Rattus norvegicus: one gene and its partner. The protein of the gene in region 1 purifies or fractionates together with the protein of each later gene. This does not show direct contact. Links are inferred from orthologs where the notes say so. Each region holds a gene or a part of one and is shown on either strand. Other genes may lie near its edges. The genes, in order: Cdan1 and Asf1b.

Region 1 (4,601 bases):
AAAGGAGGCACATCTCATTTTGTATTAAATATAATAAGTTCATAAGTTATTATTGGCAAACGTTATCAGATTTAGTCACAATCTGAATTCTCTTATTGAACAAGAAAAATAAGTCAATGTTTTACTGTCCTCCTCTTAGCAAGATGAAAAATTGCTCTTTTCAATGTATCACATTGTATCCTTTCTCCTTCCAGCATCTTCCCTTTATGTGTCTTTGCTCAGGCAACCACTGGCATAGAGTATTGAAAAACATGCAGTGCTTTTGTATAGGCCATCTGTACATAAAAGTGTAATTATTTATTTAATTTTCCCATTTGTACCATATTAAAGCTTTGTACAGTGTTTTAAGTTCTGTTTTAAAATTATTTTGTATTTTATTTTTATAATCTAGTAATAAAACATTCAGTCCGCATGCAAACTTCAGTGCTATTTGTGTCATGGTTTGGATTTCAAAAAGTGAAAAATATTTCCTAAACTACTAAAGTGTTAGATTCACCACACCAGAAGTGACTAGTAAACAACCAAGAGAAGGACATTTGGGCTAACTGAATAGAAGCTAGGTGAAAACCAGGGTTTAGGGGTCTGAAGGTGTTGTGTTCAACCTGGCTTTGAACCTGATATTCTGTCTTTGCCAAGTACTGGAATTGCAAGCATCCACTAAACCCAGCACAGAATTAAGTTTTTAAAACTTCCTTTTCTTCTCTTCAGCAAACATCCCTGATATACTAGAGGGATTCCTGCTGCATCTACTGCTTATCGCCAAGTGCTCTTCCTTGGAATGAGAGGAACACAGGGCATATTAATACAGTGCTGCTTCCCTTTGACGGAAACTGTTCAATGAGATCCCCTATCTTGAGTTTTTTTAACCAAGGAGCAACATCGGAAAGCCTCTTGTATTTTTCAAAATAAGGGACCTACAGGAGGTGTATCGGGCACGAGTGTATGTGTGTGTGCCTGTGTGTGTTTGTGTGTGTAGGATGGGGGGGGGGAGTGTGTCCAGAAATGCCTTACTCTTCCAGAAGCTAATTATGAATATTGACCTCTTAAATATGAGGTTGAAATACCCGATATAAACTCCTTAATGCGTAAAGGACTAAATACAAGTCCTTAGAACAATTCCTAAGGACCCTCAATGGTTTATGATCTGATAAGTTTTATAAGATGCCTCAGCAGGAACTCTGTCCTCAATTGTCAATTGGAAAGATTGGCCAATGGTAAAAAGTCAGCCTTTGAGTAAAGGGGGAAAAAAGCTAAGCAGGCCGGGCGTACCCCCTTTAATCCCAGCATTCGGGAGCAAAGGCAAGCTAATCTATTAGTTCTAAGCCAGCCTGGTCTACAGAGTGACCAAGCTATCCAGAGAAACCATGTCTCGAAAAACAAAAAGGTCAGAACAGAAGGTTACTCACTTTATTTTGGTTGAGGAGGGAGTGACTCAAAAAGCTCTACAGTCGGTGGTCTGAGGCTGTGTTTATGGCAGATGTCTGGTCTGATAGGCTGGTGTCTTTTAGAGTTGGTTACTTTTCCTGTCTGGCCTCTCTTTCGGAGCCGGGTCTCCACAGAGCTCGCCGCAGTTCCATCTCATCACATTGCTCCAGCGGCCAAGCAGTCAGGGAAAGGCGCCTCGGCGCCCTGCAGGCCTAGCTGGTTGGACAGATCTTCCCGGACCGCCTGAGCCCCACCCCACAAGGACCCGCCCCGTCGTCCAACGGTCGCCCCGGCCGCTGGCTCCGCCCCTCCCGGCTGCCTGTGGCGCGTGTGCGCCTGCGCAGTAGCCTCAGAGCGCCTGGACAGGGATGGCGGCCGTTTTAGAGTCGCTGCTGCGCGAAGAGGTGCCGGTCGCAGCCGCCGTGCGGTGGATCGCGCGCAGCACCCCGAGTTCGGAGGTAACAGTGCGGACACGCCCTCAAACCTGCCTGGAATGTGCTTCCCGCGGGGGATGCTGCTTCAGTCCCTTCTCCCAGCCTGCCCTGGCTGTCGGCCCGCGCCAAGGGCGCTTCTCTGCCAGCCGCTGCCGGGCCGCCCACCCTGCGGCCTGAGCCGCTGGAGGCCCGCGCTGTCAGCTGACCCTCTCGCCCCGCGACCTCTGCTTCTTCCTCAGGATAGCTCCGAAGTGGCTGCTCTGAGCGCACTTCGGCCTCTGCGGAAGGAATTCGTGCCGTTCCTGCTGAACTTCCTGAGGGAGCAGAGCAGCCGGGTCCTCCCACAGGGCCCCTCCACCCCCGCCAAGACCCCAGGCGCCTCGGCCGCCTTGCCAGCGAGGCAGGGGGCCCCGCCACGGGGTGGCCGTGGGGCGCGCAGCCAGCTTTTCCCTGCAACCGAGCCCCTCAGCACCTCCGCCGAGGCACCTCTGGCCCGCCGTGCGGGCCGCAGGCGGGGTCCGGGACCGTCCCGCGAACGAGGTGGTCGGGGATCCGGGGGCCCCGAGGAGGGGGCCAGCAGCGAGAGCCCGCCTTGGGCCGGAGGCCGGAAGCCTAAGGGCTCAGGCAGCCCTGGCAGCCCCAGACTGTCGCTCTCAGATCCGCCAAACCTCAGCAACTTGGAGGAGTTCCCTCCTGTAGGCACCGTTCCGCCCGGCTCTGCAGGGTGAGGATCGGTCCTTATTGCAAGATAATCGCTAAAGCAGAGCTGGGTGCCCCACAGTAGAATGCGCGATGGTTAGAAGGTTGAGGGCGAAGAAACCACAAAGGGGGGAGGGTTTTAAGGGACCCCAACTGTTATGGATGATACTTGAAGATAGAAATTTGAAAAAAAAAAAAAAACTGACTACTCTCAGCAGGACGAAGCCTTCTCGAAGGATCAACCCAACTCCGGTGAGCGAAGAGCGGTCACTGTCCAAGCCCAAGACCTGCTTCACCTCACCCCCAATCAGCTGTGTCCCCAGTTCCCAACCCTCAGCCCTGGACACTAGCCCTTGGGGCCTTGGCCTTCCCCCAGGGTGCAGAAGTCTGCAAGAGGAGCGGGAGATGCTCAGGAAGGCGCGGTATGGCTTTGCCGCCACCTGGGATATCAGCTTCCTCCTTGTGCGGGACTTGCGGGGATTTTTCCCGAACTTGATTTCTCCCTTCCGGATTCTGGGTTTGCTTTCTGGGCTATTGATGTCTTCTCTGGCAGAACCTGAAAGTGAATGTCACTGGAAAGCCAGGCTGAGTAATCATGACATCTCTCTTGTTCACATAGATCCAAGCAGCTCCAGCAGTCACCTACCCCGGCCTGCCCTGCCCCAGACTCGGGGTCTCCCGTTCCCAACAGAACAGGAAACCTCACAGCAGAGCCTGCTGACCCAGCCAGAGTGTCTTCTCGACAGCGCCTCGAGCTGGTAGCCCTCATCTACTCCTCATGTATTGCTGGTGAGTGAGCTCAAAGGGACAGCGGTGGATATGCATGCAAACTACAGAGTAAGAGGGGATGAAGCATACAGAGCCTTGGCCTGGTTGTCAGTAGTGCGCAATGGTATGGCATTTCTCGTTATATCCAGAGAACCTAGTACCAAACCTTTTCCTGGAGCTTTTCTTCGTCCTTCAGCTCCTTACTGCCCGGAGAATGGCGGCCACCAAGGACAGTGACCTTGAATCGAGTCAGGGTGCCCTAGGTCAGTAAGCAAGTCTAATTTCAAGAAATGATGTTTGCAGGTGGGTTAGTTCTTAACTAACCGTTTGTTATTGGCCTAGATTCCCTGGAAACTCCCCTGTTTCGGAGCATCCATGATTGTGTCTTCTTTGCAGTGCAGGTTTTGGAGCATCAATTTCAGTGAGTTTTTCTAGCTGAGGCATTTGGGTCTTATCTGTCTGTTTCTAGCCATGTAGGATGCATGACTTTGCTTAATAGATACAGTTGCCCTAGACCTTTCCACCTGGCACCTTTTGTTGAGGGGAAGGAGATTGTTGTTGTTTTTTTTTTTAGTCAGGGTGATACTATGTAGCCCTTGCTGGCCTTGAACTCCCTATGTAGAACAAGATGGGCTCAAACCTGCATAGATTAGCCAGCCTGTCTATCCAAAGTTCTGGAAATAAAAGCATGCGCTAACATTCCTGGCCCATCTGAAACATTTAATTTTGTATCAAGGCTATGAGTTTATCCTTTAAAAAAATTAAATGACTGGGTCTGGTGCTAAGCAAGGATTGCAAGTTTAAAGACCTGCCCGGGCTGCAGAAAATTCAAAGCCAGCCTTTGAAACATATTGAATGGTATTCCCAAATAATAAATACAAAAAGGCCTAAGTATATAGACCACTGGAGTGCTTGCTGGCCATATAGAGAGCCCCGTGTACTACAATAACAACAATACGTGACAGCTTACCTTTATTTTTTTTTTCTTTTCTTTTTTTCGGAGCTGGGGACCGAACCCAGGGCCTTGCGCTTCCTAGGCAAGCACTGTACCACTGAGCTAAATCCCCAACCCGACAGCTTACCTTTATAAAGTTCATAGCTGATGTTCCTAGCCTGCTTTCTTGCTCTCAGCTCCATGAAGTCTCATGTCTTCACCCTTTACTTTTATCATCTTGATTCTTAGCCCCTGACCTTGCCATACGTATCTAGGCTTACACAGTGCCTTATGCTTCAGATGGATTTTGTGTCTGCAGCCAGCGTGCTCATCTCAGTCAT
Region 2 (4,274 bases), on another chromosome or scaffold:
CGGTCCCCAGCTCCAAAAAAAAAAAAAAAAAAAAAAAAAATCACTTTCATTGCTTCTTGGCCGTTTTGCATTGGCCAAGTGTGAAAACTAATTTATTTACTTCCAAACTCACTGTGTAGACCAGGCTGACCCACGAAAGTCTGCCTATCTCTTGAGTCCTGAGATTAATGGCATGCATCTACCTCTTCTTTTTGTTTTTAATCTTTAAAAAATGTGATGGGGGGGCAGCTGGAGAGATGGCTCAGTGGTTAAGAGCACCCGACTGCTCTTCCAGAGGTCATGAGTTCAATTCCCAGCAACCACATGGTGGCTCACAACCATCTGTAAAGAGATCCGATTCCCTCTTCTGGTGTATCTGAAGACAGCTACAGTGTACTCATATATAATAAATGAAAAAGAAAAAGAAAAAAAAAAAAAAAAAAAAAAAGAGCACTGACTGCTCTTCCAGAGGTCCTGAATTCAATTCCCAGCAACCACATGGTGGCTCACAACCATCTGTAAGGGGGATCTGATGCCCTCTTCTGGTGTGTCTGAAGACACCTGCAGTGTACTTATAAAATAACTAGTAAATAAATGTGATTGGAGACAGGGTGTCTCTGTGTAGCCCTGGCTGTCCTAGAAGGGGCCTCAAAGGCCTACCTGCCTCTGCTTTCTGTGTGCTGGGATAAAAGGCCTGTGCCACCAAGCCCAGACACACACACACACACACACACCACCACCACCACCACCATCATCATCATCATCATCATCATCGTCATCGCTGCGCCATTTTGTCTCGGGGTGATCCAAAGGTTCTCAACGGTCTTTTACAAAGGCAGGAACCCCTCAGGGTAGTCCCCGAAAACGCTCACCTGCTGACAGCCGCCTAAAGGCCTAAGTCACTTTTTCCTCCTTAATGCTTTTCACTGTGAGGGCGTGCGATTTCCACAGCGCTCCAGCCCAGCTTTCCTCATGCCCACCACATTAGCCAATCACATCTCAGAAACCCACTATGCCCCGCCCTCTATCGACAGTCAATCACTGGGAGTGCAAGTACCGTCCCCCTCTGCGCGTTTTAGTGAGAGTCGCGCGCCACCGTTCGGCCGTTGGTGGCGCTGCTCTCTGTGAGGTGCGTCTACCGGAAAAGCGGAACGAGGGGAGGGTCATGCTGGTGCGGTAACCCTTGGGATTGGACAAGAGAAGTTCCGCGCTCTAACTCCGCCCACCCGTACAAGCTATTCGAGTCGGAGACTCTAGGGATTGGTTCCCGATAGACCTTTACGAAGCTAAGAGATTATCGTTCCGCCTCCTGTAGACCGTGAAGAGGGAGCGTCTCTGATTGGTCTGTTGGTCCAGGCGCGCGCCGGAAGACGCCCCAGGATTGGCTGACGGCTCGCGCCGTCATAGATCCTTAGCGGCGATTGGCTGGAGGGCGGAGCCGGCTATTTGAAGGGAGCGCGCTTACGGGAGAAGCTCTTCGGAAAGAAGAGTTGGGAATCAGTGCGAGCTTTCTGTCCTGCCGACCCCCTTCTTCTCTGTAGCAAGTCACGGAAGAAGGCTCCACAGTACCTGCGGCTCCCAGGCGAGGTGATGGCCAAGGTGTCGGTGCTGAATGTGGCTGTGCTGGAGAACCCGAGCCCTTTCCACAGCCCCTTCCGGTTTGAGATCAGCTTCGAATGCAGTGAGGCCCTGTCTGACGGTGAGACTGGGCCTGTGCAGGGGACCCCGAACCCTCCTGCCCTCGTTTGTGCCACTCCCAGTCTCCCTGGGAACCTCTCCCCTGGGCCAACTGAATCTCCCATTAGTAATACGCCTCCATGGCCCAACTCGGACCCCTCGGTGGATACGACTCTATACAGTCCGCATTGTCTCGTGGAGGCCTCGTCACCCCTCGTCTTGCACCGCTTGTCCTTGCACGTTTTCCTTGTAGAGGTGTCAGCCTCCATTGGGTTCATGGAGACCCATCAGCCAAGCCTTCCCTATGGCTAGACCCCGGTTTTATGCCTTCCCCATAGGAAACCTATCTATCCTATGGGAACCCAACCTCCAGTACCGTCCCCTCATTTTCCTTGTGCATACCTTTTCCTGCAAACTAACCAGACCCTCCTCTTTTGTTACCCTGTCTGCCCATGACAAGACCTCCTCCATCCCATGACTCCCAGCAACACCCCAGACAACTCCAGATTTGTCCCCAGTAACTCCTGTTTGCCAACTGTAACGGCATGGTGTTGTCTATACCAGGGCTTCTTTCTTTAGGTTAGTCCCAAATCCTATGTATGAGCGTCCCCAGAGGAGAGATAGGGGCTTCTGACTCCAGTCTTTGTAGGTTTGGTCTCCCCAGCTCCTGGTCTGGGTGAATGTACTCAGGTGAGGGTGCCACAGCCAGGCAGCCCTCTTCCAGTTTCTGATATTTCTACTGGCTTCCAGCTAACTCAGTGCAAGGAATCCCTCATCCCTTCTGATGGGCTGATCTCATCTGGGGAGTGGGTGGACTGGCCAAACAGGGATGGGATGGAACTTTCATCAGCTGGGAGGACACTGGCTTTTGTGGATCTTTCACAGAATGACTTAATTCATCTGTGGGACATAAAGGTGGACATGGCTCTCATCTCATAGATAAGAGGACAAGAGCCATCAAGAGCAAAAGACCTTTCAAATAAATCTGTGAACATGTAAAATGTGAGGTCACTTTGAGGTAAGTCCAGCTTTCAGGTAAGCCAGTAGAAATCTCAGAAACTGGAAGAGGGCTGCCTGGCTGTGGCACCCTCACCTGAGTACATTCACCCAGACCAGGAGCTGGGGAGACCAAACCTACAAAGACTGGAGTCAGAAGCCCCTATCTCTCCTCTGGGGACGCTCATACATAGGACAACAGGAGACCATTTTGAGTGCTGAAAAGGATGTAGCAGCTGAGGAGGTAGAGCTCTGAGAGGCTAGGTTGTGGCAACCAGTGCCCCTTGGTGGCTGTTGAGTGGTATTCAGGCAGGGCCAGCCACTCCTGTTCACTTGGATGTGTGTGCTTGGAGTGGGCCAGCGGCTTGGCCTCTCCCTAGTTTCTTACCCTTTTTTAAGTTTAAACGAATCTACTTATGACTCACTATAGAATAAGCTGGGTTAAACCCTTGCTGGAACAAGGCAGGGTGTAAATAAATAAATAAAAGGTAGAGTAACGATGTGGAATAAGAGTTATTTGGAAGCCAAGAGGAGATATAAGGAGCTGATAGATTAAAGGATTCACAGTTCCCAGATGCTGAGAGATCAGGTTTCAATCAGCCTGTCTGTGCTCCTTGCATTTAAAAATGGTTGCATGGTCATTGCCTAGTGATACTTTTATTCTTTATTTATAGAATCAGAACAAGGCTAGAGTTAGCCTGCTGGTCATGTTTTAATGGGAGCAGGGTGATTTTTTCCAAGTCAGCCAGATAGTAGAAGCATTATCATTGAAGTTTGTCTCAGAGTTCTGAGTCCAGATTGTTTTTAAATTTTATCTTTTAGTTTTAATTTGTCTGTGGGTGTGGGCCAGAGAAACTTCAAGTGGTCTTTCTCAATTGCTTTCCACCTTATTTTATTTATTTTTGTGTGTGTATGTTTTGCCTACATGTATTTATGCCACCACTTGAGTGCCTGATACCCACATAGTTCAAAAGAAGGAGTTGGGTGTCCTAGAACTGGAGTTACAGGCTTGTGAGTTTCCATGTAGGTGTTAGGAATCTTACCTGGCCTCTAGGAGAGCAGCCAATGCTCTTAACCCATGGGCTGTCTCTATCTTGTCCTGCCTATTTTAGAAAGTGTCTCTATAAAATCTGGAGCTCCAATATTGCTAGTTGACCTGTCTAGTAAGCCAGGGATCCACCATTTTATCCTCCTAAGTAATGATGTTTTCTCCTTTTGTTTTTTGAAACAAGGTTTCTATATAGTTCTGCTGGCCTAGAGCTTACTCTGTAGACAAGGCTGGCCTTGAAGTCAAAGATCTGTTTGTCTCTGCCTTCCCAGTGCTGGGATTAAAAAGGTGTGCACCACCACATGTGCGTTCCTTCTCTTTTAATTTTTGTGTCTATGTTGGAGGTGGCATATGCATGGGAGCCTCTGGAAGGCAGAGACATCTGATCCTCTTTAGCTGGTTTGAGACTCCTGACATGGGTGTTGGGAATCAAACCTGGGTCTTTAAGATCAATACTAGATTCTAACCCTGAACTTCTCTCCAGCACCCTGAATTTAGGTTTTCATGGGAAACACTATCTGCCCAGACCTCTAGCCAGCTCCCAGATTCCTTTGCTTTCCTTCAGTCCTAAAAA

What was found.
Region 2: the proteins of Cdan1 (region 1) and Asf1b purify together in Homo sapiens (co-immunoprecipitation; 5 studies listed by BioGRID and IntAct, counting the BioPlex papers as one, with this or other methods). This does not show direct contact. The link is inferred for Rattus norvegicus from reciprocal best matches to the Homo sapiens genes CDAN1 and ASF1B.

Annotation. Positions count from the first base shown.
Region 1 is NC_086021.1:128,140,668-128,145,268, reverse strand, and holds the start of Cdan1 (codanin-1), read left to right. Parts: upstream 1-1,748; 5' UTR 1,749-1,793; coding exon 1,794-1,883; exon of another isoform or gene 1,884-2,098; coding exon 2,099-2,583; exon of another isoform or gene 2,584-2,773; coding exon 2,774-2,980; exon of another isoform or gene 2,981-3,177; coding exon 3,178-3,347; exon of another isoform or gene 3,348-3,475; coding exon 3,476-3,589; exon of another isoform or gene 3,590-3,668; coding exon 3,669-3,747; exon of another isoform or gene 3,748-4,601. UniProt on the Homo sapiens protein: May act as a negative regulator of ASF1 in chromatin assembly.
Region 2 is NC_086037.1:41,097,484-41,101,757, reverse strand, and holds the start of Asf1b (histone chaperone ASF1B), read left to right. Parts: upstream 1-1,405; 5' UTR 1,406-1,569; coding exon 1,570-1,678; intron 1,679-2,541; exon of another isoform or gene 2,542-2,674; intron 2,675-4,274. UniProt on the Homo sapiens protein: Histone chaperone that facilitates histone deposition and histone exchange and removal during nucleosome assembly and disassembly. Cooperates with chromatin assembly factor 1 (CAF-1) to promote replication-dependent chromatin assembly.